Lepisosteus oculatus: one gene and its partner. The protein of the gene in region 1 interacts with the protein of each later gene in a biochemical or structural test. Links are inferred from orthologs where the notes say so. Each region holds a gene or a part of one and is shown on either strand. Other genes may lie near its edges.

The links.
Region 2: the proteins of ribosomal protein S6 kinase alpha-3 (region 1) and astrocytic phosphoprotein PEA-15 form a complex in vitro, tested with the Homo sapiens proteins (2 studies listed by BioGRID). The link is inferred for Lepisosteus oculatus from reciprocal best matches to the Homo sapiens genes RPS6KA3 and PEA15.

The regions. Positions count from the first base shown.
Region 1 is NC_090700.1:4,615,760-4,630,909, reverse strand, and holds the start of ribosomal protein S6 kinase alpha-3, read left to right. Parts: upstream 1-6,540; 5' UTR 6,541-6,734; coding exon 6,735-7,019; intron 7,020-7,233; coding exon 7,234-7,350; intron 7,351-8,685; coding exon 8,686-8,767; intron 8,768-12,079; coding exon 12,080-12,160; intron 12,161-12,604; coding exon 12,605-12,684; intron 12,685-13,637; coding exon 13,638-13,744; intron 13,745-14,696; coding exon 14,697-14,734; intron 14,735-15,150. UniProt on the Homo sapiens protein: Serine/threonine-protein kinase that acts downstream of ERK (MAPK1/ERK2 and MAPK3/ERK1) signaling and mediates mitogenic and stress-induced activation of the transcription factors CREB1, ETV1/ER81 and NR4A1/NUR77, regulates translation through RPS6 and EIF4B phosphorylation, and mediates cellular proliferation, survival, and differentiation by modulating mTOR signaling and repressing pro-apoptotic function of BAD and DAPK1.
Region 2 is NC_090699.1:9,323,530-9,338,679, reverse strand, and holds the start of astrocytic phosphoprotein PEA-15, read left to right. Parts: upstream 1-6,180; 5' UTR 6,181-6,728; intron 6,729-15,150. UniProt on the Homo sapiens protein: Blocks Ras-mediated inhibition of integrin activation and modulates the ERK MAP kinase cascade. Inhibits RPS6KA3 activities by retaining it in the cytoplasm. Inhibits both TNFRSF6- and TNFRSF1A-mediated CASP8 activity and apoptosis.

The DNA of each region.
Region 1 (15,150 bases):
GCAGGAACTGCACTTACGCAGCCCTGAGTTTTTTTGTTTGTTCAGGATATTCGAGTTACGGTCATGCACTGACTCTCTGCTGCCCATGTGGTTGATAATTGTTTGGTCCTTTGCTCCTGAGCTGCTGTTTCTCAGTCAGTGCATTATTGGAGTCCTGATGCTGGAAAGGAGCTCTGTAATTTAACCCAGATTGATTGATGGGATGTATAATATTGTATGCAATTGTGTTCACTTTCCGAAACATATTTCTCCTCTGAAATCTTTCCAGAAACGTACGCTGCATACACTCCCAGTCTTAACGGAATGCCCTTCTCTAACAGGCTAAAAGAAACAAATCTTTGAGTCTTAAAGAAGACTACTGAGGGACTTAATTTATCTGTTTAAAATCCTAAAAGGCATGAACAAAATCAGTCCTGCTGACTTCTCCAGAATCAACATTGTAACATGAGCCAGAGAACATGCGTGAAAGCTACCTGGAAGTTCATTTTAAAGTGAGAACTGGAGGCTCTGTTACTGCTTGTTACTTTTTTTGTAAAGAATTTTTTGCATCTTCGCATTTTTTGTGAAGCTGAAGCCTTTCGCCATTACTTAGCTGGTGTGTAGTTTCCTTGGTTGTTTTTGCTTAGTATTGAAATTAAGCAAAGCCACGTTGCTTTTAGGTAAATGGTGCGTTGGGCTGCGTTTGACTTCTCCCTTTGTACGGGATGCCAGAATACCATACTGAAAGAGCGTCGTATCGGGACTGCTGAGGTCTGGGCTTCCTGCTTGTACAGTATGTGGTCGTGATTCTCAGGAAGTGAGACTGTCTCGCATGGCCTTACTCCTACCAGCTGGCCTGGATCCAGGCTGTTCCTACGGGTCAGCCAGCCGGGGTTTGCATTGCTCCCTGGGGGACCCCATTGTCCAACATTTCTTTCAACAAGTGCCCCACGGATTAGAGGCGAAAACGAGTCAGAATGTTTGTTAATTATACAAGCAGTTCCCAACACAGACGGGCGCTTAGGAGAGGGGACTGTGGTGATGCTACATCTAAAGACAGTTTGGGGAAAAAATGAATGGTGCCCCCTCCTCTGAGGGGTGTTTTTAATAAAATAAGGGTATTGGTAAGAGGCACCCCTTCTCTCTCTCTCTCTCTACTCCTCTTCTCTCCCTCTCCCCGTCCTCCGCGCTCTCCGTTTAATTCAAACAGCCGCGGTGCCCTGGTTATTGCCCTCTCAGGATCGCTGCGTGATGTCAGGTTCGGACCGCATGCCCTCCCTTACAGAAAGGACAGTTCAGACGGCTTACCAGTAAACCCCGGGGAGGAGTGGGGGGAGGGCGTGTGCCGGCGGAGAGGGCACGGTACAGACGGCACTGTAACTTCAGCAGCTGGTCGGCTGGGAGAATCTTTTAATCTCTTCCCGACATGGCGGGGGTCGGCGGATTAAGTCGAAACACCCGCCCGAGTGCCTTCCCCTTGTGGGGCTCAGTTACAGGGCGGGCAGGCGAGCGCGCTCTGGGGGCCCCGGTGCTGCGGATTTTCTTTGTCATTTTGCAAACGGCGAATCCGAGTCGCCGGTGGAATTCAGCCAGCCCACAAGGATCGCCTGCGGCCGGGCGATGTCCGTCTGTCTGCGGCAGAAGTTCGAGAGCGGCGGCGGGGTTTTCCGCGGGGAGCATGTGAGTGAGATTATGGGCGTCGGCGGAGGGAAGGGTGCTGTGATGGATCGGGTCATGTGAATTTCTGTGGGTTTTGACACACTTTTCAGGAAGGCTCAGACAGGGTTGAGCCACTCGCAGTGCTGCTGTAGTTCAGCATCCGGGATTGGTTGCTCACAAGTCTTGCACTGAATTCCCAGGCGATCTCTCTTTTGCTGGTTTCATTTGATCTTTTTACAGTCCGCCCTAAACCCTTGTTTCTCTCTAGAAACGGAAGTCTTCCTGTCGCTTTGTTTACACCGTGGACTTTCATTTTCTCCTCGTGGAGAACTCGGTTGGCAGGGGAGGTGGATTGATGCTGCAGAGGTGACAGCCGGCGCCGGTTGAGTCCAGCGCCTGAGCAGACGCACCGGATGGTTAGGGCTCAGCATGGAGGAATAGGAAAGTGGGTTGGGCGCCCCCTTTTGTGGCACGCACGGTCCAGCTGTTTCTGGTGCAGCTGGGTTGACTTGGGTCAGTGATTTGTGAGTGTTTGAGTTGGGTCCCCGTCGTAGTCATCTCTGTCCAAGACTAAACTCCTTCGGCCTGTCAGAGGCGAACGCTCTCTGTGGGGCCACGGGTGTATCTGGTTGCTCTTCCCTGGTCTGGTTCCAGAGCAACACTATCTCCCATGCCCGGGTTGTGTTTCAGTGCCTCTGGGCAGACGTTTCAGAGTTGTGATGTTAAGGTTTCCTCCGGGAACTCGGGCTAGAGACCCGCGGCTCGCCTGGGGGCTGGTGGAACCATCTGGTTCAGCACTCCCGCGGGGCACGGCTGCAGCCATTTCAGTGGGCATAAAAGAACTGCTCACATGGGCTCACCGTTCTGCTTAGCAGCGTTTTTATTCTGTCGGGGCTTTCTCGCGTGTCCTGAAAATGTCGGAAGTCAGCTGAGGTCAGCGTGTCGGTAGTCCGCTCCCTCTGACTGCAGCAGCTCTTTTCAACAGTCGTTTTCTGTCACACCTTTTGGCTTTTCCAGTAGTCTCAATTTGCATTTGGCAGGTTTTTACAGGAGCCCTTTAAAACATCAGTTTCTAAAGGCGTGGAACAACTTGATCAAATAAACAGGTGGTTCATTCAGTTCAGTCATTCAGAGATCATTGGGAGAAAACATCAGCTCTCAAGGATCAGTGTTCCCTTCGTTGATACTTCACTTGCTTGACTGATCAACTGCCTAAATAAGTGTCCCTAATCCTTATCAGGTCATTTAAACTGACCTGCAGGAATAATGGAATTGGGACCAGGGTTGGGGACTCCTCGTCTGTACAGAATATGCAAATTCTTCAATCCTCCCCTGAAGCTGTTGATTGTGGAAGATGTACTACTGTAGCTTCCTGCATGCCTGCCTGTGCAGAGAGGCACGTCTGTACGAGTTCTGAGCCCAGCCTGTCATCACTTCAAGAGAACAGAGCTCATGCGGGGGGCCTCAGGGTGGGCTTTCCTGTGTGGCTCCTTTTTACCAGGTGATTGCTGGTCCCTCGTTTTCCTGAGCCGAAGGATGTCTGCATCGCACATCTCTACTTCCTCTTGGAAGGGCAGTCACAGCAGAGTTCAAAATGCAGCTGCTTTTTGGCCATATTCTTTCTTCTTTGGTTGTATTGCCCAGATATTCTTTGTCCTGTGCTGGGTCACTTTTTTTTTTAATTGAAAAAAGCAATTGTAGTCTCATGTTCTACCCTGCGTATCGGGCATCGCAGGCCATGGTACAGAATTTTGAAACAGCATGAGATAGGTCACGACCCGGATGTTATTGACGTATGCTGTATTGGAAAGATGCCGTTTTAAAGAACATTTTCAGCTTTACCGGTTTGAGCTGCAATTCGTTTTAAAATTCCATAAACAGGAAGCAGAACAGCTGGTCCTGGCAGAGATGAGGTCTGTCTGTTACATATTCTGTGATCTGTGAGTCTCGATGCCTAACGAGGTAGAGAGAGACAGGTAAACGATCCTGCTTCTGTCTTTCTGCAGGACCATCTGCCGACAGAAGAAACTATTTTTTTAAACAACAAAACAAGATTTGGAAGCACGTTTTAGTGTATTGTTTTTGCAAGCATGTCAGTTTAGGTGCGTTATTCTGTGTGAATCCCAGTCCCTATCAGGGTAACTTGGTGAATAATTTCATGAACCGACCATGCGATAAAGTTTTGAATTGAACCTTTCTTGTGCACTTGACTAACAACATGCAATGCCCTCTGTCAGCTCCCAGAATAAATGTTTCTTCTTAAAACAGAAAACACACTCTGGCATGACGTTTTATTGTGCAGAGGGTGGTCCATTCCTGCCTGTTGCTCGAATGGGTTCTGACATGTCTTTAGCGGAGTAAGAGAACTAATCTTCCCAGTCTGACACTTGCTCTGAAAATGATTAGCCCAAGGTCACTTCTCGTCAGTAGCTTGGCTGCACTTCAATAAACGCCTCAGGGCTGCCAGCCTGCCTCTGTTAAGGCTGTAGTCCAGTCTCCTGAGTCTTTCTGGGCCTGTCACCGGTTCCATCAGCAACTGCTCTTGGGGTGACAGGAGACTGTAGCAGGATCTCCTCTGAATCCGCTGTGCCTCATGGTTGAGACTTTGATCCAATCAGCATCGTTGACATTGTTGAGTGCTCCAGAAAGGTCAGAGGTCAGACACATTTGTTCTTACTGGACTTTTTCTGGAGGAGGAGAGTTGCAACTGCTAGCAATTTTCCCTTTTGCGTCATTTCCTAGGGATGATTGTTAGTGATCAAGAAGTATCAGAAGAGCAGTCAGGGTTGTTGTGGAGATGCATCTAGTTTTTATTGGCAGCTGAGTTTTTGGAGGAAAGGTTTCATTTGAACTGGTTTCCCCCCACAGGCCAAAAACATATTGGTAGCTTAACTGGCTTCTAGAAGAATTTGCTCTGGTCCGAGTGCGTATGTGTCTCTGTTCATGTTTGCGTGTGCCCTAGAATAGACTGGCATCACATCCTGAACCTTGAGCCCATTGCTTGTGGAGTTAGGCTTCATCGACCCTGAATTGGATGAAACGGGATGGGTGGATGGTCTCATTAGAAAATAAGCTACATAAGGGATTCAGGAGACAAACCAACTGTCCTGGCAGTTCTCTGGCATGGAGCAGTGTCGATGGGTCAGGGCTGGAGTCTGAGCTGCTGAATTTCCAAAGTACTTGCATTTTGCCTGGTCTACAGGAAGGATCCTGCAAATTCTGTTCCGACTTCTAGACAGGGTGACGTCTAGTGAAAGTGAAACCTCCTGAGGCCAAAGGCCAGCTCTCCTCACTGCGTCACAGGTTTCCCTTACTGACCACATGCAGGCTGAGACCTGCCGAGACGAGCACCTCCCCCCCCCCCCCCCCACTGCCTGAAGCAGAGTCTCTTTTTAACACTCCAGATTTATTTTGTGTGTCTGATCGCACCAGCGCCAAGAGCCGACGCGACTGCGTGACACACGCTGACATTTCGCTTAGACGTTCACATGCTGCATTCGAGCCTTGTCTCCGAGACCAGACGTGTGATCCCAGGAAAGATCGGAGGCATCTGTTGTGTTACTGTTGTGTTTCGCAGCAGCGGCCCTTCGGAGATGTCGTTGTTTTGCGGGTGGGTTTGTTTATCCGTCGCCTCTCCGGCTTTTGTGCAAGGCTTGAACGTTCCTCGGAGAGCAGCCTTTTTAATTGAATTAGCACTTAGCCGCTCTGTCGCGGAGAGGGATCGGTGAGCGCCGCGTGTGCGTGGCGGAGCGGGTCCGCGCCTCTCACTTCTCCTCTCCGCTTCCCGGCCAGGCCACACATCCTGGTGCGTCTGCTGCGCTCTGCCCTGGCAACTTCCCCTCCTCGCGCGGGAGACGGGCTCCTGCCTCTCTGATGGCAGCATGCTTGCGCTGCTGACAGAATGCAAACCGTATAGGCTGTCTCTGGGACTGCAGAGGATGGACAGGAGTGTTGTCGTCGCCTCTCTGTGCTCCTCGTGTGAATATCAGGTACTGTGCTTCTGCCAGAGGTCTTCTCTGCTCGGCGTCGTAGATGAGTTTCCGTGCGTGTCCAGGTTTTTTTTCTTTCCGTAGAGCCAATTACTGTAAGGTGCGGTATCTGAAGTAAGGGTCAGTGTTTTTTTTTAGATTAATATTTAGCTCCCACGAGGAGCAGCCTGTGTTCGCTGAGCGATTTCCCACATAAGATACTCGTTTGTGATTAACCCTTCACCGGTTCTGTGCTGTTACCCTGTGCGTGGCTCTTTTATCATGAGCGCTGTACAGTGGGTTGAGTCTAACAGACTTCTCATTTTTATGATTGAAATGTGGCCTGCTCTCCCGGGGATTAGTTTCACATTTACAATATGCATCTGTCCTAAATTGACTTCTTCCACATTCTCAAGGTTCAGCTTGACAAAGATGAGCTTTGCCTATTGTAAGGCTCCCTTCTGGAGTCAGATATCCATTTCCATTTATTGGGGAAAAATCTCATCGCTGAGGATGAACCTCTGAGAGCCTAGTTTAACGAGTGTAGTTCCTGGTTGTTTCTCGTAAGAGTCATTCATGCGCAGCGCACTGATCTGCAAACTCTTTCTGACGCGAGAAATGTCTCCTGCTCGTGCTGAGCATCTACAGATCACACCTTTTGAGAGAGAGACAAGTGTTTTGAGATTCTGTGCTTTTGTCAGTGTTCTGCTCACACAAGTCTCTTATCTCAGTACCACTAAGAGCCCTATAGTATCGGCTTCCTGATTCCGAAGGCATGCAGATGCCGAGATCTCCAGGTTTTTAGCCTTTTCCTCGGGGTTAGTATCTTTGTAGTTATTTGTCAAGGCTGCGTCGTACCTTTTGAAGTCGAAGCGTGTATAAAAAAAAGTTCCGGTGGCAGTGGGGGGGGGGCATTGTGTGTCTGATGAGGAAAGTGTGCAGCGTGACTCAGTGCTGTAGCTGTACGAGTGCAGTTTCGGACTTGGAGGTTTTCCCAGCGCAGGCGGGTGGCAGAAGGGAGACAGGAAGAGGAGGGGAAGCAGGAGAAGGCACAGCGAAGAGTTAACGAGAGAGAGAGAGAAGCGAAGGGCCCTCTTCCTTAGTCACCTCCTCCACTCCCACCTGCTGATGCCTGCGAGAGGGGTAGCATGGCAACAGTGTGGGAGCTGTCAAACGCGATCCTCCCCTGCCTGCAGGACTGCACACATCGCCGCCACAGCTCGCTGCCTCCATTACAGGCAATGGAGGATTCGGCCGCGCCGCCGGGCCCGCGCCGCCCGGGCTGTCCCGCTTCCTAGCCCCGCTCTCCTGCTGCCCCCCGGGGGCTGGGTGCTGATGGGCATGGGTGATGCTGTGGCACAGAGCAGCTCGCGGGGCAAGACAAAGCCGTGGGACGGCGGGACGGCCTATCACGTATGTGGGGGCGTGTGGGAGCGCCCGTGGTTGTTGGGGCGGGGTTCCTGGAGGGGGGGAGAGGGGAGAGGGGAGAGGAGGTAGGGCAGCACGTGCGAGGCTCGTCAGGCCTTCCTATTCCTGCTTTCCTCCCACCTGCTTTTAACACCGAAACGCGCTGGGCTGCCTTGAGCCGGGAGCTCACCCTGCCTTCTCTTCCCTGACTGTCGTCCAGGACGAGGGGCACGTCAAGGAGATTGCCATCACCCACCACGTCAAGGAGGGCCACGAGAAGGCCGACCCGCGGCAGTTTGAGCTGAGGAAGGTGCTGGGCCAAGGCTCTTTCGGGAAGGTGAGTGTGTGGGGGGGCGGCGGGGAGTGGGCTGGATGTGGTTTTAGAGAGAAACGCTTTGAGGACCGAATGCGTGTCTTGCAAGTGCACGCAGTACACCCTTTTATTTTTACTGCCTTTTTCAGGGACAGATAGGTTTCAGTTGAGGGATCTAGTCATGCACAGACCTGGTAATGGCGGGTACTCGATGGCCCTCAGAGACCACCCTGTGAGCAATCAGAAATAGATTAAGTGTGAGCATTGTTTACAAATCATTTCAACCATTGGACATGTGCAAGGGAATTGAGTAGGATTTTCAAAAATGTTCTTGTCAATTGCTTTGTTTGGATATGTGTTACAGCCTTTAAGGCTGGATGGGTGGCATGCATGTGACCCTTGACTGATTTTAGCTGTGCCCTCCACTGCTGTAGTGTGAGCTGTGTGATGAGCATGGAGATGAGCATTCTCAGCTAGTGGGGGCATATGGTAGTTAATATGACTAGGAACAAGTAAAGGTTTATTCCATGCTGAAAAGAGAAGAAACAAAACGCAAAGTTTCAGCTGTGGAGCCTTCTTCGGGTGTCAGTATTATTAGTCTTTCTTGGCTGGTGATAGCCATGCATGCCTCGTGTACGTTTTTCAGGCAGTGTGAGGTTTTTGCAATTGGACCTCTTCTTGTTTGTGCCGAGCTGAGTCCTGGGGCATCTGTTTACTTGCGTCTGGTGTCCTGAGCCCAGATCAGGGATCAGAACATCCTATTTGCACTGTTGCAGCTAACTCTGCGGATTTGCCTTTTAAAGCGTGCGTGCTTCGGCAGGAATTCGGCAAGCATGCAGCGCTAATGGCTGGCCCACAGTGGCGTCTCTGTCTCTGCTCTCTGGAGCTGAAAGGGCCCTTTATTCCAGGAGCATCACCCCGTGTCCTGCCTGCCTTGTCAGGGGGCCTGTGCTCGGATGAGAACTCATTAGCTGATGCACCAGTGGAGCGCGGATATGCAAGGTGAAGGGCATTGTCTCGGGGTGCTCCTCTGTGCCGTGTGGGTTCCCACCAAGTTCTCATGGGCCCTCCGGCGGTGACCTTAGTGCTGGTAATGACCTCTGAGCTCCACTGCCCCTCAAAGCCCTTCTCCTCTGCCGCCCAGCCTGGAGAACCCATCTAGGCCAATTTGTCTGACTCTCCGAACGATATTATTAATCAGCTGATAGCATCCAGTGCTCCTGTACACTGGTCTACTGGGGCTGCTGTGTGAGAGAACCTAGTCCAGCCTCGAGGACGTCAAGTGCTGAAAGAAGGACTCCCCACCCCACTTAGGCCATCTCTGCTGTGTCTTGTAACTTCTGGACTTGTCCACCACAGGTATTCCTTGTGAAGAAGATCACGGGCCCTGATGCTGGACAGCTTTATGCTATGAAGGTGCTTAAGAAGGCAACACTTAAAGGTAAATGTTTTCTTACTGTCAGAAATCCACTCATCTTGTCTGAGACACAGTCATGTCATGGTATAAGCAAGCAATGCTCTAAACTTATATTAATTGATGAAGTTACAATTCAGTGTCCTGAATTGTGTCCTCAGTGTTTTTGAATCCAGAGTTTTAAAGCAAGGCCAGACTGTTCAGGCCTTTAGTGCTGATGTATGCAATTTACGTGATCCAATATATCTTACCCTGTTGAGGCTGATGTGTTTTTCTTCAGAATAATGAGCATTTAATTTGTTTGTTTCTGAGGTTTTTAATCGGCATTTCAAACTTTTAAATATTGTTGTGGCAGCCTTTATAAGTATGGTATGGTAAGTCATTCACATAGAAAAAGGGTACAGAATTGTACACCTCAATTGTGGCAGCTTTCAACAAAAAAGCTGCAATGCCTCTACATTTATAATTTGATCTTTGTTCTGGATGTTATACCTCCTGTTAGCAATATTAAGCCTCTCAGTGCCCAAGGAACTGTTTCGGGTGTTTACTTTTTGACTACAGACTGATGTCAGCCCGATCCTCACAGCGTGACGGTGTATTTGTAGGACTCACTGCACATCTCCAGGCCAGTGCACACACATGCCTACAGTGCTGTCTTTGTGCACAGCTCTTTGTTTCTGGTCATTATTAACATCATTTCTCAGGGCAACACCCCCTCTGTTTATACATTGTGTGTCTGAAATAAAGCCTTGTCCCATATGTGGCCTCCTTTTCCCAGGCCTTTAATGTTTGAAATGACAGGAAGCTGCTTGAACTAGAACCTCTCAGACAGATTAATTATAGACTCCTGTAAGACAGAATGTTACTTCCTGTCTTGGTATTTGCCACAGTGTTGCCACAAGTCTTAATAGATATTGTGCTTGTGTCTGTGACTCTTCTTAATGCCTGATTGCATCCATAATTGCCTGATCACAACTCCAGATGGAAAGAGCCTTTCTTCTCCCAGTCTCTCCTTAGTGTTGCTAAGTACTCTTTGGAATCGAGCACAGCTTCCACTGTGGAGCGGTTTGGTCCTTTTTTGTGTTTAAGAACCGAAATCTCGTGCTAATTACACTAGCAAAGCAGAAATGCAGTGTGTTGGAAGTCAGCTGAATGTCGATCATTAATGTCATGTTCAAAGGAACAAAGAAAGTGTTTTTTTTTGGCTTCTGCAAGAGTTTGCAGTTGCTGTGTCCCCCGAAATGAATTATATCTCTGTTACTCCATTCACTACTAAGTTGTTCTGCTGATGTTTTTATCCAAACCTGCTTAAATTATACCCGTAAATACAGCTGGGCATTTTACTGGAGCGGTCTGATGGAAAGACCCTGGCCAAACATAAAACACTTGGGATCTGCCCCTCCAAGCTGCTGCCATCTTGGCACAGTTTAGAAAAGCTGTGGAGAGTTTCCTGCTTCGGGGCTGGATAGCCTCCACATGCTTTTTCTTTGTCCCCTGGTTTCTGGATGTCTCTTCTGGCCATGCCGAAGGAAAGTGCTGATGCAGACAGCAGTGAGCTCTGCTTCAGAATCTTTGACACAGCGGAGTCTGGGAATCGCTCTGAATCGGAACAGCTCGTAAACAGCCGGAGCCACAGCAGTCTGCGTCTGGCCTTAAATTGCTCTCTGTACTCATTTATTGTCAGATCATTAAGGTTAATCAACATCGGTGAATGCAGTGTCACTAGCAATGCAGCATGGTGTTTATTCCTTTCGCAGTACAGCGCTGCCCTTTAGAGGGGTCAAGACAGAGATGGAAGGAATTCCCTTCCGGCTTCATAAAGCACGTAAAAGCACTTAATATAAGAGTCTGTTTTCAGCAGCTCTGGGTTTGAGAGTGGCGTATTCTGCTCTTCTGCTGTGTGCTAGGTTTAGCAGTGAAACAATAGGCTTCAGCAGAGATTTGGCGTCTTTTATACCATAGAGTGACACAAAACACAGAGGCATCCCGATCGTCCCTAGGTACCAAAGAGACCAAAGACGGAGGGCAAGAGGGGAGGGTTGTCTTTTCTTACAGTCATTGAGTTGATGTTTTCAAACAGGCTGTTTCATAGTGAGCACCCCCAGAGAAGGTGACATAATCCAATAGGTTCCATCTTTTGTGAAAATAACAGCCGTTGAAGGGCAGTCTGGACCGGGCCCTAATGTGACACTGCCGTGCTAGTATCCCCTACCTGGTTTTAAGTCTCAAGCCTGTTTCGCTTTAAAAACCTGTTCAGCATCCTGTCCTCATAAAGCCATGTAAGCCATGACTGGCCATAGATTCTGTGAATGCTGCCACTTTGAATGGCACTGTGAGGACTGACAGCAATTTGGACACATTGAACAGATGCCTGTGCCAGTATTCTACCCAATTTATAAATAATTTGACTGGTTCTCAAGCTGCATCATCCGTGCCATCACAAAATCTTTTTTATAAAATAAACCAAGTGGTCTAAATATGTGTGTTGAATACTAATGAAACTGGCATATTTGAGGAAAAAACCTGCTAATAATTTGCTTGAATATGGAATGCCGTTCTCTTTACATCAGAAAATTGCCTCATGATCAGTGGCTGGATATCCAAAATAGTCTTTTAAAAAATAAAGTTCTGCAGCTTTTAATTCAAGATTTTTTGTCAGGTTTAGACACCACGCAGTGGTCATAAAAGAAATGCCACAATACAGGTAAATGCGCTTCAGAAAGGCCTGAGCTTTTACCAATTGGAATGTTGTTCAGTTAGATTTACGGAGAAGGGTAGATTTTCATACTGTATATTTCTGGCATTCTTCCTTTGCATGCCTGAATGAAACAGGAAGTGAACAGGTTTCTCCATAACGCTTGAGAGGGCTTTAGAAACTACTTTTCTGAATCTTCTACCACCAAAAATAGATCAACATGACATTGAGTGTTAATAACGTGGTGAGAATCAACCTCTAGTAATTAATGTAATGAATGTATTACATGGATATTAACTAAAATGAGATTGCTCATTGATTAAAAAAATGCTTTCTTAATGGGTAGGTCAGGGTTAATAACCATCTTGCAGTGCAATTTATGAAGGTTAATTTGCCATTAAAGTGTAATTAGTTTTTACTTCCATCACTGGCCCTGAATATAGAGAGGTCCGTGAGAGCTGATGAAGAGGAATTCGGAATGCAGCGAAGGGTCTGACTAATGAATGCGTTCAGAAAAACGACAGACGTCTCTCTTAGCACTTTGATCAAGTCCCCCTGGCGCCGTCCATGAGTCAGTGTGATAGCAGGCTCCAGCAGGAGGCTGCGTTTATCTCTGCCTGAGTCCTTTTGTCTCGTCCTTTCAGTCAGAGATCGCGTTCGAACAAAAATGGAACGCGACATCCTGGTGGAGGTGAATCACCCCTTCATCGTGAAGCTGCATTATGGTAAGAGCCGATTCGGGAGCCATATGTTGCCATGCTTGGTTTGCCAGCAGCTCCTAATGTTCTAAAACCAAGGAGATTAAATTATTGTTCCTATTAAAAGTCACTAACTTTTTTTTTTAAATAGCATTTACTATAGCATATAGTATCCCAGCCCTGAACCATGGGCCTGTTGGTCTTTTTATTTAAATATCGCAAATATAGAGAACTCTAATCTAAACTGCTTGGAGTATGGAAGCATTTTCCCAGACAGTAGTGTATCTGTTTAATGATGCCCCGTAAGGGCTGTGTTAGAAGTGCACAGTTCTGTACTGCTGGATTTCTGTCAAGAACGTATAGTTGCCCATTGCCATGCCTTACCATCATTCAGCCCTCTTGGCCCTCGCCTGGAGGTAGTCCTGAGGTATGCTGTGCGGTGCTGACTCCTGCCTGGTCACTTTGTTTCAGCGTTCCAGACAGAAGGGAAGCTCTATCTCATTCTGGACTTTCTCAGGGGAGGAGATCTGTTCACCCGCCTGTCTAAAGAGGTACGGATCAAGCAGAAGCGCAGTGTGCAGGTGTGAGGGGTTGCCGCCGCGGCCAGCTGCTTTCTGTCCTGGAACGATCCCTGGTGTAGATGTTATGAGTATTATGCCTGTGCCCTAATGCAATCGAGGGAGCAGCCCGGGAATCCATCGTTGTCTCCCGGCGTCCGCGACAGGCGGTGGAAGTGATTAGTTATGACAGATTGTTATTCAAAAAGAAGTTTAATCATCCTATACTTCAAATCGTTGTTCCCAGTCCTGGTCTTTAAAGGCCACAATCCAGAGAGTTTTCTTTAAAATATCTGTGGAGAACAATCGGTCCAGTTAAGTGTTATTGCACCAGTCAGTTCTCAGTATGACACAGGAAACCTAGCAAACCTGCTGTCGTCTGGTTGGGGCTTCTGCTTTAAGTGATGCTATAAGAGGCCTGTCCCACAGCTAGAGGAGAGCATGCTGTGCTTACTGGTGTTTAAGAAGCGGCTTATCTGGAAGGTACGGCAAATTGTTTCTGCAACCGAAGTCTCAGCAAGTCAGAGGCAGATTCAGGAGCCATAGCTACAGAAAACCAGTGAGCAGCCTTCCAGCCTCCAGTCCCTCTGCAAAGGTGCACATGACAGTAATTACTGTACCACACTGGCTGAGGCAGGGGAAACTGAGCAGTCACCGTTTCCTGTCTTCGTTCCCTCAAGATAGGGCAGCCGGATTAGTCACCCGAGGTGTTGTTCCTGAGTGGTTTTAACAAGGAACTCTGTTGTTTCCTTTCTAAACAAAGTGCCACTGGATAGTCTTTGTTCTTCTTTGGTAGCTTGGGGAGGAAAATAAGTAACACCAGGGCAGGAAAAGAAGAATAGTTCTCTGCGTGTCTCATTTGCGTTCTTCTCATCTCCTCCCTGGTGTGTTTTCCTCCTTCTCTGTCCCCTCTTCCTCTTCCTTCTCTGTCCCCTCTGCAATGGCAGGTGATGTTCACGGAAGAGGATGTCAAGTTCTATCTGGCAGAGCTGGCCCTCGCCCTGGACCACTTACACAGCCTGGGCATCATCTACAGAGACCTCAAGCCAGAGAAGTACGAGCAAAAGGGCAGGGGGTACACAACGGGGTGATGTGGCGGTCGGTGGGATAGCCACATGTTTCCTCTCCGATTCTTAAGAACCATTGCAAAGAGCGGATTGGGCCCATCTAGCTCATACGGTAGTTAGCTAACTGGTTGTTTTACACAGGGGCTGGATGTCTGTGGTACAGGACACCCCCCGATAGTCAGACATTTATGAAAACCTGTCATCACACACTCTGCATGCAGTAGTTCGCTGGCCTTCTTAGGGGGGCTGTAAGAACACGAAGGCTCCAAAGGAGAGGAAGTAATTCGGCACATCCGGCACGTTGGTGGTAGTTTGACTACCCCCTCTGTTTCTTGAAAGGAACCATATTATCCGCTTCAGCAAAAAAAAACTGTTTAGTTTGTTCATGACTCCCGCTGAAAGAAGCGCCTAAGGTTATCAGTTATAAATGAATTTCCCTGTGAACACTGGAACTGTATTGGCTGGGAACCGAAACTGGGTCAAGTGCTTAGATGGGAGTGCTTTTCTAACCACTATGGCACCAGTGTGCATTTTATCACTATTTCACGCTCACAAAACTTTCTCGCTTCGCTCAGCCTTACCCTGCCAACTTGACTTACTCATAGGACAAATGATGTCACAGGATGGTCTTGCAAAGTTAAATAGCTATACCTGTAGATGGTCCGCAGTTTGAGCTACGGTTGGTCATTTTTTTTTTAAATGCTACAAACCAAATCTTTGTAGGTTGTAATACTGTGTGGCTATTTGACTTTTCACTTCTTTTACATTCATTTTTGCATCCAGTCCTTGATTCTGTCCTTGCCCCGTTTCAGTTTTCAAAGCTAATCAGTTTGGCCTCTAGGGTCCTCAGTTTGTCCTTTTGTTTTGTTCCCAGTTAAGGTTCAGGGTAACGTTCATGATCTCCGTTTGTATTAATCGAAGGACTGTGTCTCTTTACAGCATTTTGCTCGATGAAGAAGGGCATATAAAATTAACAGGTATGTAACAGCAGGTTGTGTATAAAAAGAGTTCTGCACCTCGATAGCAATAAACATAGATTCAGATATACATGAAACAACTTCCTAGGAAGGAATAATATTTTCTTTGACATATTTATCGCTGCATGTATAATAAACTCTAGGTATGTGGCCATGTCTGTGAGAGTATAAAAAGAAGCATGTATGTGGTTTCACATGGAAATGCTTTATAAGCCACACACTATCACAAGAGCTCTTGCAGTTTCAGATTTGCCATCTTCCCTATTGTATGGTATTAGACTCCCATAAGAGGGAGGAGGCAATGCAGTAAGCTGGGACAAGTTTGTAGTGTGAAGAAACCTCCCATCCAGATCCTGCTAATGAGGGTGTTTGTAATGATTGAATGCAATAAACAATTTTTAAAAATATTGTCGATG
Region 2 (15,150 bases), on another chromosome or scaffold:
GGCTTTTAACTTTCGTTTCTGTCAGGATGGATCACCCGGCTTTGGACATTGGCTTTCCCAGGATATTCTAAGGGACTCCCTGGGACTTGTTTTCCCTGGACACCCCCCCCCCCGAGCACCAGCGCACCTTTGGACACGCCCCCTGTTCTTCTTCCGGCCCCTATCCTAGTCTTTTTTCCCTGTGTTTACTCACTCCCTTCCGGATTGTGCTGTCTGCATAGGGTCCTGAAAGACGCTTTGTGACACTTTCCAGGGTATATCTCGCCTTGCGCCCATTGCTTGCTGGGATGGACTCTGGCTCCCCCATGATCCAGAATTGGAAGAAATGGTTAGAACATGGATGGATGGAGGTAGCTTGTAATATTGTATACCACCTTGCATAAGTGCTTTCTCAAACTGATGGCACAAATAGCAAGCACAAGAGGAACAGACAGAGGTCAGATACCTCTGACATAGTGCTTGCAGTCATCCTGTAGCAACCCCCCACCATTCCCAGCAGCACAGCTCTTGACCTCTAAAGGTGTCCCCCTGCTTTAAGGACACTTTCTGCATGTTGCTCCCTGTCTGACTTTTATTTTGGAAACACAGCCAAAATGAAATGCCTCGTTCTCCCTGTTGTCCGTGCCTCTTGTCTCAAACACTCCCCGGTATTTTGTCTCCTGAGCTCCGTCAAAGATGGTCTTGTTCCTGGAAGAAAGCAGACTTGTTTATTGTTTGCTGTCCGAGCCCGTGTGGCTGTGCCCTGCAACACAAAAAACTGCCTGTGTCAGTGTCTCAGCATAAGCCCCTATTGAATCTGCTCCATCTGCCGAAGAGACAGAGGTAAGCAGTCTGTCTGTTTCCTTTCTTCGGTCAGCTCTGTAATCTCTCCTCCATCACTGGGGTGCCAGCCTGTCCCATTATGGGTTTAGAAATACAGTAGTGACTCCCTCTCCCACAAGAAAGGTCATCGAGGTCAATTCTCAACGTTCCTTTTCCTGTCTCACTAAGAATCTCTAAAAGAGACTTAAGCGTTTGTAGGCACAATTATTTTTTGTCACCATTAATTCTCTTTGCAGATCTACCGAATATCAGGATGGGAGCCCAAGGAAAATCAGCCAAAAGCTAAAATCTTAAGTCAACCCCATTTGTCTTTCAGGTTTATATTGAACCTGAGCAGCTGTATAGGGTTGTGAGGAGAAAAGCAGAAAAAAAGAGGTAGTCTGAAATTTAGACTACGTGGTAATTGCCCTTTATTTTAACAGAAACTGGAAGTAATTGGGCTGCACAGTGGAGCAGTGGTAAGCATTGCTGAATTGCAGCACTGGGGTCCTGGGTTCTGTTCTAAATTTGGTGTGTTATCTGCCTGGAGTTTGTAAAGTATGTTCTCCCTGTGTCTGCATGGGTTTGCTATAGGTGCCACAGTTTCTGCCACAGTCCAAAGACATGCTTCTGGGAAAATTGGCCGTGGTGTGAGTGTGAGCGTGTCTGTATCTGTGTGTGCCCTGTGATGGACTGACATCCAGGGAGTATCCCACCTTGCTCCCATTGCTTGCTGGGTTAGGCTTCATCTCCCCCGAGACCCTGCACTGGTTAGAAAATGGAGGGATGGAAGTAACTAAGGCTAGCTCTGAAGTCCAGCTGCTACAGCCAGACACAGTCGTAGCTTGCCTTGTCTCTAGTAATCTCTGAATTCCTAGAGCCCGCACTGTGCTCGGCTTTTGGGGCAGAGTGGTGGCACTGTAGCTAAGGATCTGTGGCTTGAAGGTTGCTGGTTCAAATCCTGCAGCTGGCAGAGGAATCCTACTCTGTTGTGCCCCTTAGCTGTATAAATGGCTGACCCTGCCCTCTGACCCAAAGCTCCTCTCTCCCCATCTGTGCGTCTCCTGGAGAGCAAGCTAGGGTATGTGAAAAGACAAATTCTTAATGCAAGAAAATGTATATGGCTAATACAGTGATTGTAGCTTATCTTATCTTCATTGCCCTTGGGGACTGTGATTTCTTGTGGAGTCAAACCCACTTGTGCCCCCCGGAGCAGGACTTCAGAGCGCTCCACCCGGGCGGCAGTCTTGTGTACGGCTAGACCCCTGAGTTACGAGTCCAGGGTGCTGGACTTCTTTATGGCCCTGTCTTGTTTCAGCAGAACAATTTGAGCCATTTTTCTATTCTGTTGTCATAAGTTCCCACATCATGAATTCAGTTCAGGAGGTCACCGGTAAATCGGCAGAGGTATCTATTCCTTCAGTGTGCAATTTAACGCTAACGGGTTCATGCCTCGGCTTGATGTATTGTGTTTAACAGGGCTTGTAATTGTTGAAACAGTGCAGGTGTGTAATTAATGCTGTGGTAGTAATGCTAATGACTTCCGTGGGAAGAACGCAACTAAAATTCATGATGAATCAATGCAATTATGTGGAGAGCACACACACACAACAGATTCACAGATCACTGAGTGTACAAGGACAAATCTGTACGTCTGTTTATGCCTTAGAGGTGAAAGGTTTCGCAGTATTGATATTGTTGTTGACTTATCAGGTATTTTCCACATCCACTAAATCTCTACAGCTGTCCTCTGTAAATTGAGTTCCCACTGGACTTCCTCTGGACGTCTGACACAGCTTCCTTTCTAACTCTGTATGTATTGTAGAAGAGAGAAGTAGGCAAGGGGTTTGTTAACTCAGGGATTAAAGTGAGAAGTAATGACCACTGGTCTACTCCTCCCTGCTCCCTCTGGGCATCACACGTTGTTATCAGCCCAGAGTGTCTAAACCAGCCGTAAATCTATTGATTAGTATTCCTCTCTCTTTCCAGCTCTAGCAGGGTTAAAGTGCTTTGGGGATGAGGAGAGGGATGAATAGGATTGACTCATTTTGTTATTTCCATTTTAATTTCTCTCTCTTGGGATTTTTATTTTCTTAGTCTTTCCAAAAGCCACACATTACTCACCAAAATTAAGACAAAAGCGACCAGATTGCAGGTCTCTATGACTTGAGTGGCTGAATAGCTCTGCAATTCAAACGCAGAATGAAAAGCAGGGGAGACGAGGAGGCTGAATTGATAAGGAATGAATATGACTTTGCGATTTTGTTTCCCTCTCATGTCTCCGTCTTTTCAAGAAGGTTCCCGGGCTCATGGCGTTAATGAGGGGAGCAATTAGTGGAAATGATTTCCATTCTGATGCAAATGTGAAAGGGAAAAATGGAGTAAAAAAAGGAGATTGAAACTGTCTGTTGCTAGTTTATCAGGCAGTTGGGAAGTTCAGAAAGAGCCGGTTTCGTGGGATTTGGCAGTTCTGAATTTTTGTGTGTTCTGAGGAATCTTTCGCTTTCTCTCTTGTTTTGGTTCTCTTAGCAGTTTGTTCCTGTTCGTCATAGCACCGCACTGCCGTTTCCTAAAAATAGTCAAACTTGTGATCTCTGATCACAAGTTGCTTGTTACTCGTGTCCTCATTTTTATTTCCTCTCCCATTCAACTGCAGTAAACACAGAGCAGTAAACACAGAGCTTTCTATTGTAAAGGCTGCCACTCCTGCCTCTGGCCAAATATTTCTGTCTCCGTCCACAGATTAGAACTAGAATTTGAATGAAAGGAAGTGCAAAACAAAGTTGAGATCCTAATGTGATTCAGACACAGCATGGCAGCACTAGGACCTAGGCACCTGACTGAGACTGCAGCCTGACTGTTGGGCTCAATCTGGTGGTGGAGTTCCAGAGAGGGTATTTCCTGCCCTGGGAACAGCTCAATGAAGAGAGAAGGGAGTACAGGAATTCTGGGGCCCTGCAGATTGTCCCTCAGGGGCAGAATAAAGGTATTGAGCCTCTTTAGCCTTCCTTGCTGAGCAATAAATCCATCCCTGCATTTTCTAACCACTACATCAAATACAGGGTCGAGGGGGAGCTGGGGCCTATTGTGGCAAAGTGGGGTACACACGCTAGACAAGACTCCAACCCATCACAGGTGCAATATATTGTGGACCCCCAAACCGCAAGGGGTAGTTGGGAGGACAGTGGTAATTAGGACTGAGAACAAAGGGTGCATCTTTACACAAAGGGTGGTGGGTATAGGGAACAAGCTGCCTGGCTACGTTGATTCAACCACTTCTGTAGGATCCTTTAATAAGCAGCTGCTCTTGATTCTATTGGCATTAGGTTATGAGCAACCAAGCTCAATGGGTATAACAGACACCTTGTTTTTGGAAGCTTTCTTATGTTCTTATTCTAGCCCTTCTGCTTTATCTGGACAACACTGGTTACTTCTTCTGTTTACTTTATAGACTCGTCTACAATGCAATACAAGACACCCTTAAGCCAGCTGGATTGATCTAATAAACCACAGGGAAAACAATTATGTGTTGCACTTGGACATCTTTGATGAATAGGTAAGATCGGGTGATAAATAATAATAATAATAATCTTTACACTAATATAGCACTTTTCTGGAAACTCCATTCAAATTGATTTACAGGGAATGGGGACTCCCCTCCACCCAGCTATGTGTAGCACCACCTGGATGATGAACATCTGTTCATAACAATATTATATTAACAAGCAGCTATAGAACAATAACAAACACTGTCATTCAAATAGATAAGTTGAGATTTGAATAACGTCAGTTCCCTAGGATCTTATCTGAAACACAACGCAATGAGGTTCATTGTTCTGCTCGCACAGTGATTCAGCAAAGTGAGAAGAGCACCACCTACTGGTTTGCCAACATTGCAGCCAGCAATGTGAATTTCCCTCGTGCCAAGAACTACTGGAAGAGATATATATCCATCCATCCAACTGCTTCATCCAAATTTGCAGGTTGCAAATTTGCAGGTGAGTTGGAGTCTATCCCAGCAAGCATCAGTCACAAGGCAGGGTACACCCTGGACAGGACGCCGGTCCATCACAGGGCACACACAGACACACACATCATCACACACACATTCACTCCAAGGGTCAATTTTTCCAGAAGCCAATTAACCTACCAGTATGTCACTGGACTGTGGGAGGAAACCGGAGATCCCAAAAGAAACCCATGCAAACAAGGGGAAAACATCAAAACACCACACAGTGATGCAAAGCAGCAATCGTAACCACTGTGACATCAGGCCACCCAATATAGAACTGCTGCAGTGTTATATTTTTTTTCTGATTGTCAGCCCATCTCAGACCTTAATGACTTGATTGAAGTCATTGCCTGGACACGTAGTCACATCAGCAATGTTTTATGCAGGGCAGTCACAATTTGAACGGTACTTCTCAAACAGGCAGGTACACAAGGACTGGAGTGGTCTCTATTCATTCAAGAAAACGGGATGGACATGCGTGAGCGAGAAAGGGGTCGAGGCGGCTAGGCGGGAGAACCACCCACAGCACGTCAAAGCCGCGAATAATGACGTCAGCGGCGTGACAACAGGCCCGGCACCGCTGGGCAGGTGTTACTGACCAAAACCATTCAGCTGTTCACTGAGGCTGCCTGTACCCAGAGTGCCCATGTCTTCTGCACTATGCCACCGTGTTTGTGCCGAAATATTATGCCTTTTATAGAACCAGTGTCATAGTTATTCATTGCCGCTTGTGTCATGGCAAAGGATCGTGAATGAGATTAAAAATGTGGTCAAGGTCAGTGAAATTGCAAGGGTTTTTTTTTCTATGAGTCATGCTGACGGATCCATCTCCTTTTAACTTTTTTTTTAATGAACGAGGCTTACTGATGCCAAACGTGACTGGGGCACTCCTTTGCACAGCGTTTGACATACGAAAGGCAAAGCGTGAATCTGGCCATGTAATCAAAGAAAAGACCAGCGACGTGAAGTACGGAATGTGTTTATAAAGGATGACTTTGCAAGTTTGTGTTGGGGGAGAGCGCAGACTTGAACGGAATCATCAACAACACAGGCAGAAAGCATTTTTTTGCGGTGAAAATTCGATATTAGATTTCGTTCATTCCTAGTTGGACAGTAGTAACTAAGAAAATGAATCTTAGACGAAACGACTCTCCTGTACTAGCTGGGATGTAGTGAGTACTTGGGAGGTCTGAATTTTTGTTTTGTACAGATGTAACCTGCATCGTGCAATATGCGATTGTATAACACAGTACAGCAGCGATCCTTGACTCCCCTTCTCCCTGTCGTTACAAAACGGGCTTCGGGGGCCGGCGAGCAGAACAGACCGATGTCACATTCCTAAAGACCTTCTGTCGTTCAACAACGTGAAGCTCGTCCAAATAGCGAGACCAGCCGGGACGAAGTACAGTGAAATATCCTCTCTCCCCCTTGCTTTAACATACCCTGCACACACTGACCGGCGTTTACAGAGGAGAAAAGAATCAGGGAGAGAGAGAGGGAGAAATGAGAAGGAGGAGGGATTTGCTGACCGGATAACGTGTGACATCAGCTTCAAAAAATGTGTGTGTGGATGTGTGTGTCTGTGTAGAGCCAGAGTCAGACAGGGCTCCGAGGAGGAAGGGGAAAAAAAGGCGTTTCCATAGAGAAGCCGGTTAGACGACCCAGAGTGGACGTTCGTAGCGCTGAAACCAAATCCGATACATCGGCAAAAGCAGATCGATACCGTTAAAGCCGAAGCCAGGAGGGACGAGCGGACTTGCAAACGGATTGCTTGCCAAGCCCCCAGAAGCAGCTGGAAATCGCCAACTTTCACCCTCTTACCCCGAAAGGCAGAAAAAGCATCTTCCCGTCCCCGGCTGACTTAAGCGACTCGCCCGCACGGAGTAAGTGCGAAAACACTCTTATTTCTCATTACGTATGTATTCATCTCTTTTCACCTCTGTTTCCTTCGCTTGGTTACCACTTGTTTTGGGCTCACGCGTTCATTTGTTTACGCTCTCTTTTGTTCTTGCTGAATGAAAGACACCAGGAATTCCGCTGCAAACAGTCTCAAAACCCCAAATCATGCGTTATCTACGGCCAGTCTTACTTTGGTCCCGTTTGCGCAGAAAACAGTAGGTATATATTCGAGCTGCTGCCAACTAATCGAGACCACATGGTAAATAATAAGAAAAGAGCTCGGATGACATCGTCTTGAACTGGAATCTACCCGAGATTTTCTTTATTTTCTCAATGCCTCCATCTTCAACACTCCCCTTAGAAAACACAACCACAACAGTCATCGTGAAACTTGCTCTAGAGCAGCCTGTATCCGGCTCACTGTACATACCAACGCCTTTCAATGTACAGTACCTCCCACTACAAAACGACAGAATTAGTTTCCAGTCGTTCCGATGCATCTGGATGTAAGCTAAATAAATAATTAACATATTTATACAAATCAGTGTCTGGAAAATGTCGTGCCTGCAGACGCAAAACAAACGGCTTCCACTGGCATCAGTATTCTGCATAAACAGCCCATCAATCTCTGACCTATTTTCTCCATACAATTGAATGGCACCTTATGGGTGAGACGGCCTTTTAAACGTGCTTAAATATGACCATCCTAGCGGTTGACATGTACCTTAAGAATGTGATGTGCAAACAGAAAAAAAAGAGGCAACTTTATTATTCTTAATAATTCTTATTCTTTTAATAACTTATTCTTTTTAAAACGTAAGTTCACCATTAACCCCGTATAGACATGGGCTTAGTTAAAAAAATGAACAGTAAAATAACTTCCGTTCGGTGAATGTAACAGCCACCCCACCGTGCGAGTTGTTTCTTACTTATTTTTTGTATCGATTATCTTAAGTAAGTCATAAATTAAGACACGAGGCGACGGAGACCGTCAGTTACCCAGCTTACGTTTTTATTCGAAGTATAATGACATCCGAGTTTGGACCAACGCTTGGAGCAAACGGACCGTTAAAACTTCTTTTCTTTTCTAAACAAGATGATGGCGGCATTTAATAGTTATAGCGAGGCAATAAAACCAGTTCTTTGGGGAGTCGGTGAAGTGCCTTCTCGCTAATTTGTTTTTCCAGGTTACTCTCCTGACTCAAGTACGACGGTCTATCAGCTGGTGCCGCGGTGCGTTTACTGTTGATGCCAGTTTCCTCCCTCTGTTCACATCCGAGCCAAGCCAGGCTGCCCGGGTGTCGCCCTTTTCCCCGTAGTCAGCGATTGTGCTTATGCCCAGGTGAAACAGTACCAGACCTACTGTATCACCTTCCCGTGTCTTGGTAAAACCTGATACAGCGGTGCTATTGTTTGACAGTTGCGAACTATTCCACGCTCAGCTGTAACATGTACTGTAATGTAGGGGAGTACTGAGACTTTAGTAAAACAGAATTACCGTGTTGTGCTCCACTTCGTAAAAATCACGTATTTGCTCATGCTGGTACTACAATGTGGTAGGGCGGAGTGGTGGCTCTGAGGCTAAGGATCTGCCCCTGTGACTGGAAGGTTGCCGGTTCAAATCCTGTGGCCGGCAGAGGAATCCTACTCCGTTGGGCCCCTGAGCAAGGCCCTTAACCCTAACTGCTCCAGGGGCACTGTACAATGGCTGACCCTGCGCTCTGACCCCAAGCTTCTCTCCCTGTCTCTGTGTCTGTGTCTCCATGGAGAAAAGCTGGGGTATGTGAAAAGACAAATTCCTACTGCAAGAAATTGTACAGGGCTAATAAAGAAACATTATTATTATATTACCATACAATTGTTACTATGGTGAATTGTTATATAATTTAGTAGGGCCTTCAAAACAATCTGGATTTTTTTTATCTTCTTGGTGCTGTCACACCCAGGTGTAGCTTACTGTACTGTTTTGGGAATGATATATTCAGCCTTGCACAGATATCCTTAATATACAGTATGTATTATTGATGAGCAGTGCCACTCATTTGCCCCATACCTTACTGACTGGGCTTTCTTTGAGAGGTCCTCTCTGTATTAAAATGCACTAAGTAATACAATGTAAAGAGTACATGAAGTAACATACTTTAGTATAGAGGGGTTTGCACAAGTGTGGCATAAAATTCGTGTGTCGTGGAGTTGATTTCAGTTGGGGGCACCTTCAGTTTGCATGCTCTCACCTGTGCTCGCATGGGCGTTTTCTGGTTGCTCTAGTTTCCTCGCACCCCAGCTGCCTGGCTAGGTGAATCACTGTCCTTAAACTGCCCCTGAGTGTCTATGGCCTGCAGTGCACTGCAGGGGAGTTTCACACTGAGATCGCAGGGAATAAGCTGCTGCTTGTTGTGACTTTCAGCAGCAATCAGCAGCTTCCCAGCGAAGGGTGGATTGATGCATGGTGCTGTGGAATAATAGCACAGCAACTGGACAGTGCAAAGCCAGAGCAGGCTGTAGGGTCAGCAGTTACAGTCCGTTCAGGCTGTACAGAGACAATCCCCGGGAGACCACTAGGTGGAGCCATCCTGATCATCACTGACAGTGTAGCTGAGTCCTCTACAGGGTGTGGCTCAGATGCCAAAGGAAGCTATGGTGTTTGAGAATCAGTGGGATTAAGGCCTCGGCCTTGAAAATGAATAAAACCAGCCACATTTCTGCCACAAATGGGAGGCCCTCTCCCTTTCACACAGACAGCATGGAGTTTCTCCACTCTGCAAAGGGAGATCTTCCATTTCAAGGTAATCAGACAGCTACCGGCTGTGTTCTGGAAACAGCGGCAGTTTGGGATCCAGATTCCTGACTGCAAGCCCTGTGGGTGGATCCCTTCGTCCCCCGATCCTGATATTTCATCCAGGTCCCTCCAGCCACTCCGGCTCTATAAATGGAAGTCACAACTGTATAGGTTAACAAAACAGGTCACTGTAAACTCTGCAACTCTCTGTGGATAAAAGCATCAGCCCAGTCACGAATGATAATAACCTGTCAGTTTAGTACAGCTATAACTACACCCATGTGGCTTGTGGGCAACACTCTCTGTAACCACAGCATTGTGTACAGCGTGATCTCACTCTGCACTCACCTACCCCTCAGTCCACAAAGTGAGCAGCTCGCCTGCTCTGCTGTTCACGGAGACACCTCTGACCCCTCTGGAGCCATATCAGCAATATACTGTACACAGTACAATATGCTGCACCACTTCAGAGCCAGTGGATAGCCCCCAGATACCATACTTATAAAGCTTAAACGCAGTTAGAATAATGGGATAATAACAGGCTTCATTTATCCATTATTCTTGAACTGCTTTATCCAATTCAGGGTCTCAGGGGAGCCAGAGCCTATCCTGGCAAGCAATGGGCACAAGGCAGGGTACACCCTGGATGGGACACCAGTCCATCACAGGACACAGACTCACAGGACATAAACATGCATACACTCACACCAGAGCCATTGAACTCACCCCTATGCCTTTGGACTGTGGGAAGAAGCCAGGGCAGCTGGAGGAAACCCACACAAACATGGGGGGAACATGCAAACTCCACACAGATAGCACCCCGGGTCTGGAACTGGCACTGAGCCCAGGACCCTAGCGCTGTGAGGCAGCAATGTTAACCACTGCATAATCATGTTGCCCAAGAGGCTTTATTGGACTGAAATAATGGATTTTTTCGTGCTTTCCCACTGCACTTACTGCACATACATACAGTATGATCACATCCGTGGGAAAATGGACCGTTTTATTCCCTGCTGGGAGTGGGTGGGTGTTCAGTACGCAGAGACACTATTATCATAGCTGTAACGTGTAGGATCCTGTTCCGATGGTCAGCTGTAGCACATGAGAAACGATCTTGTCCTGGTCTGGATCAGCTACATCCCAGCAGGGTAGCAGATAAAGTTGTGAGTCAGTCCGGACAACCAGAGGATAATGGTAATATTTCTTCACTCCTTCTTCCCTGCATCAGCCCCCCACCACCCTTCTCTTCTGCCTTTGTCAAAAGGAAAATATAAAATTTACAAGCCTCGTGCTTTCAAGATCGGCCCTTGACAATAGGGACTGGCAGAGCGGAGGAATCAGGCACCAGGAAGGCCCTGTGTTTGTGCAGTGTGTTGATGTCATCTCCAGTGTCACAGTCCACCGTGCAAGCCTGCAGGCAGTTTTCCCAGTCTCAGTCTCAGTCTCAAGACATCATCACAGCTTCAGATTCGGGCAACGTAAGGGATTGGTGTGGTCCTTCTAGGAAAATAAGGGGTACCCTTTGCCAGTTTAGAGCACACACAGAGTGGAGAGGAAAAACAATCCACTGACAATTGACAATTGTGGACAGACGTGACAGATATGATCACCCTTTCTCTCTTGCTCAGAAGCTGACTCTTCTGCAGGGCTGTGCTAGATTTCAGTACTGGAGCACTGATGAGGTGGGGGGGCAGTTAACACTGTCTTAGGTCCTAGAATCAGTTCTGGCTTGGGATGTTTTTTGTGTGAATTTTGACCACGGTCTGTGGTTTCTTCCTATACTCCAGCGACATCATTGCTGTGCCCGAAGGCATCACTAAATTGCTCAGTAAGTGCACATATACGTGTCCTGCAATGGACTGGTATTCTGTCTGAGGTGTAGTCCTGCTTTTGGGTCCTGTGGTATCAGGATGGGCTCCACAAACAAGCACTGTAATGTTAAGAGACTGAGAAAGAGACATAGATCAGTCTGTTATGGTGAGGGTTGTGGTTTCATATTTTTAAATGCTTGGTGATTTACAAAATTGGTCACTGCATGTCAGCATAGACATCGACAAGATTTGGAACCACAGTGGCATAACTGTGATATACAGGGGCTAATAGTGGCCCAGTGATGACTGGCACTTGCAGTAACACTTACTGTGTTCAAAATGAAGAACGACATTAAGGAAGTGGATCCTCTGCTGGTTTGCAGAAAGAAATGAAAGAGCCTGAGTCAGCAGACAGTTTCAGAAGGGGAATCATCCTTTGTCTATTTTTAAATCTTGGCCATTGAGCTCAACCCAAAATGCACAACTTGTTCTTAATAGGCAAATCATATTTGGCACAATCATACATTTAACTGATCTCATGGTATAGGAACGGATGGTTAAGAGCAAGGTTTTTAACTGAGGTGCTAATGTGATGGATAGGCATCGATGATGCATCGCCCTCAATTTTAAGTGAATATGGAAGTGACACACAGCGAACCAAGCACTGTCTGCTTCACAGTTCCTAAGCATAACCAAGCACTGCCTGCTTCCCAAACACTCAAGACCTGCTCCTAAGCAGAACCAAGCGCTGTCGGCTTCTCAAGACCTGCTCCTAAGCAGAACCAAGCGCTATCAGCTTCTCAAGACCTGCTCCTAAGCAGAACCAAGTGCTGTCGGCTTCTCAAGACCTGTTCTTCGGCATAACCAAGCGCTGTCGGCTTCTCAAGACCTGTTCATAGACATAGCCAAGCGCTGTCGGCTTCTCAAGACCTGTTCATAGGATTAAACAAGCACTCTCGGCTTCTCAAGACCTGTTCTTAGGCATAACCAGGCGCTGAAGGCTTCTCAAGACCTGTTCTTAGGCATATCCTTCTGCTTCTTAAAATGCTTTCATAAATAGGTCTGGGGAGGGTTTCTGTTTCTTGAGACTTGGTCCTAGGCATAACCTTCTGCTTCTTAAAATGCATTCATAAATAGGTCTGGGGAGGGTTAGAGTAGTATATTTCTAAACTGCTCAAAGGGAAATTGGGTGAGCAAATGAGTAAATTGTGACAAAAATCAAGAACATTATTCATTTTTTGTAGAGTAGCTTTAAGATGTTTTAGTGTCCTTCTGGCAAACAAAGACACCATTGAAAATGTGTTTGTGAATGCTTATTTCCAGCAATTGTCTCTGGGAAGCCAAAAGCATGGCGTGCCACACCCTCTTTATCCATTGAGAAAATACTCCGGTGTGGGGACTGTATACATCTACTGGTCATTTCCTGTCATCAGTCTTAAGGGCTTTTTTGGTGTTTGTGCTGGACAAACAAGAAAGAATATACAAGAAAATATAAAGGTAAAATCTCATTATATATATACAGTCTGAAGAATGGATAGGTTTCTCATTCTTAAAGGAATCTTATATTTATGAATCTTTTGTTCTCTAAAATCAGGATGTTTTATAGGAAAGAATAAGAACAGGGGGCACTTTTATATACAGTATAAGAGGTCGAAGAGGTCTGGGACAATCTATTTGGCCAAGTTGTTGAAGCCAATAAACACCCTGGCATCTTTTGAAAAACAGTTGAATGAGATCTTCCAACTAGGGCAGGAGGTCTTCTTTACACCGATGGTGGTGGGAGTGTGGAACAAGCTGCCCAGGCATGAAGCTGAAGCCCATACCCTGGCTTCGCTGAAGACACAGCTGGATGAGGAGCCTGGATCAGTTAGCTGCGTCCTTGATGGCGTTTATAACCTATTTTCTGTCCCTATGAAAAGATCAAATAGAATCCCAGACTTGTTTTTTTTTTTTTTTTCCTCCAGTGCCTGGGTTCTTGGCCAATTAAATAGAAAAAACAAACTGCCCTGTCAGATGAGAAGCCTAGCGGGTTTTTCACGTTATCTAAAATGACGTATTAAACGCATCTTGCCGGGCTGGGAAATGTAAAGAGGTGATTCGAGGGCCGTCTGCATGCTTAGTATGCTCAGGCGTGCCAGCACCGTTTAGCATTTAATCCACTTTCTTTCTCTCAAATAAAATGTCGTGCTTAGTGTAATTTGATTTGATACAAGTTGATTCGATTTGCTTTTTTTTTTTGCCGGGACGTGATTGCGTTTCAAAACGACTCTTAACACAGCCTTCTTCTGTCCTGCTGTACAAACAAAAAAATAGGCCAGTGTCTGTGTTGTTGCCGTGTTTTCATCTGCTCTTTCGTTCTTCTTCCTCTCAAAGGATTTGGGATTTTGTCTCGTTGTTTCTATATAACACCTAAAGTATTCGATTTCTTAAAGAGTTACTAACATACACGTACAGTATAACAGCGAATTACATTTTCAATTCACATCGTGTACTCGATGAGACAATCAGATTCATGTTTTGCGATTTTGTTTGGGATATTAATAACATGAAATACAGGTTTTCTATTTCCGAGACTGAAGAAATTGTCAATGTTTCGGCCCGAGGCAAAGGAGAAATAGCCAAATCCCTTCCATTCGCACTAATTCAGCGTTAAAATTTCTAATAATCATTATAAGTATTTTGAATTTGCTCAGAAAGTCGGGAGTCCGCAAGTTTAAGTCTTCAAAGACGCACCCATGAACCTTCCAAGCAACAGCATCTTTTCCATTTTCATACTCCGTCTGCCGGATCGTGTGCTCTTGCGTGAAAGAGAAGCGCGTCACCCAGACTGTGTTGGCTCTCTGGTGCGGAGGGTGAGAGGCCCAGGTTTTGTGATAAAGCTCGTCGGGGAAAGGCGTTTGAAAAACGGATATGCCAGACGGGGACATTTCTCTTTGTCCAGGTGTTTAAGATTGGTGAATTCTTGCGTCCCCAAGTTCGACAGGATTGAAGTCACTTAAGTGAGGAGCTAATGTGATTTCCAGTTGCCAGGGGTTACCTAGTGAAACAATAAAACCTGATAATTGCTGCCATGATTTTAAAGTGTAGGAAAACAAAAAGTTATATTTCGCCTAGGGGAGCAGTGGGCGTTGAGCAGTATGGTTAATTTATAGTTTCTACAATGTTTTCATTTAAGACTTGCTTACCCTTAAGTTTTCGAATCTAATTTCTGTTGTCTGTCCTAATCCATAACACTCACTGTAATAGCAAAAATAAATTTTTCCCACTTACCTCTTCATCTTTGCTAAGGGTCTGTGCCTGTGGCAAGACGGTTGCCAGTTTGAATCCTGCGGCCAGCACAGGAATCCTACTTCGTTGGGCTCCTGAGCAAGGCCCTTAACCCCAACTGCTCCATGGGTGCCTGCGAAAAGACAAATTCCTAATACAAGAAATTGTGTATGGCCAATAAAGTGATCTTATCTTATCTCAATTCAACAGCTCTCAAGTTTGATTGTTACACTAGTACAGTATGTCTCACCAGGTGACCAAGGCACCTCTCACATTCCTCACAGCAATGGCACGTTCCGCCTCTGTAATTCTCACTTTCTGATTTCATCTAATTTGTAAATCATTAGGTGCTTTGTTTCTGTGCCTTGCTTTCCAGCTGAGATTTACAATGTATATCTTGAATTGCTTTTCAAACTATAATATAACTTTAAGGGGCGGTATGATGGCACAGGGGTTCGTATGGTTGCCTGTAACGATGCGTTGGTCAGGACCCTGTGCAGGCGGTATAATCCGGAAGTAAATGGACACGGGGAGCAGACGATGAGGATCTGGGTGGGTTGACGAACAGGGAGGCGTGATGA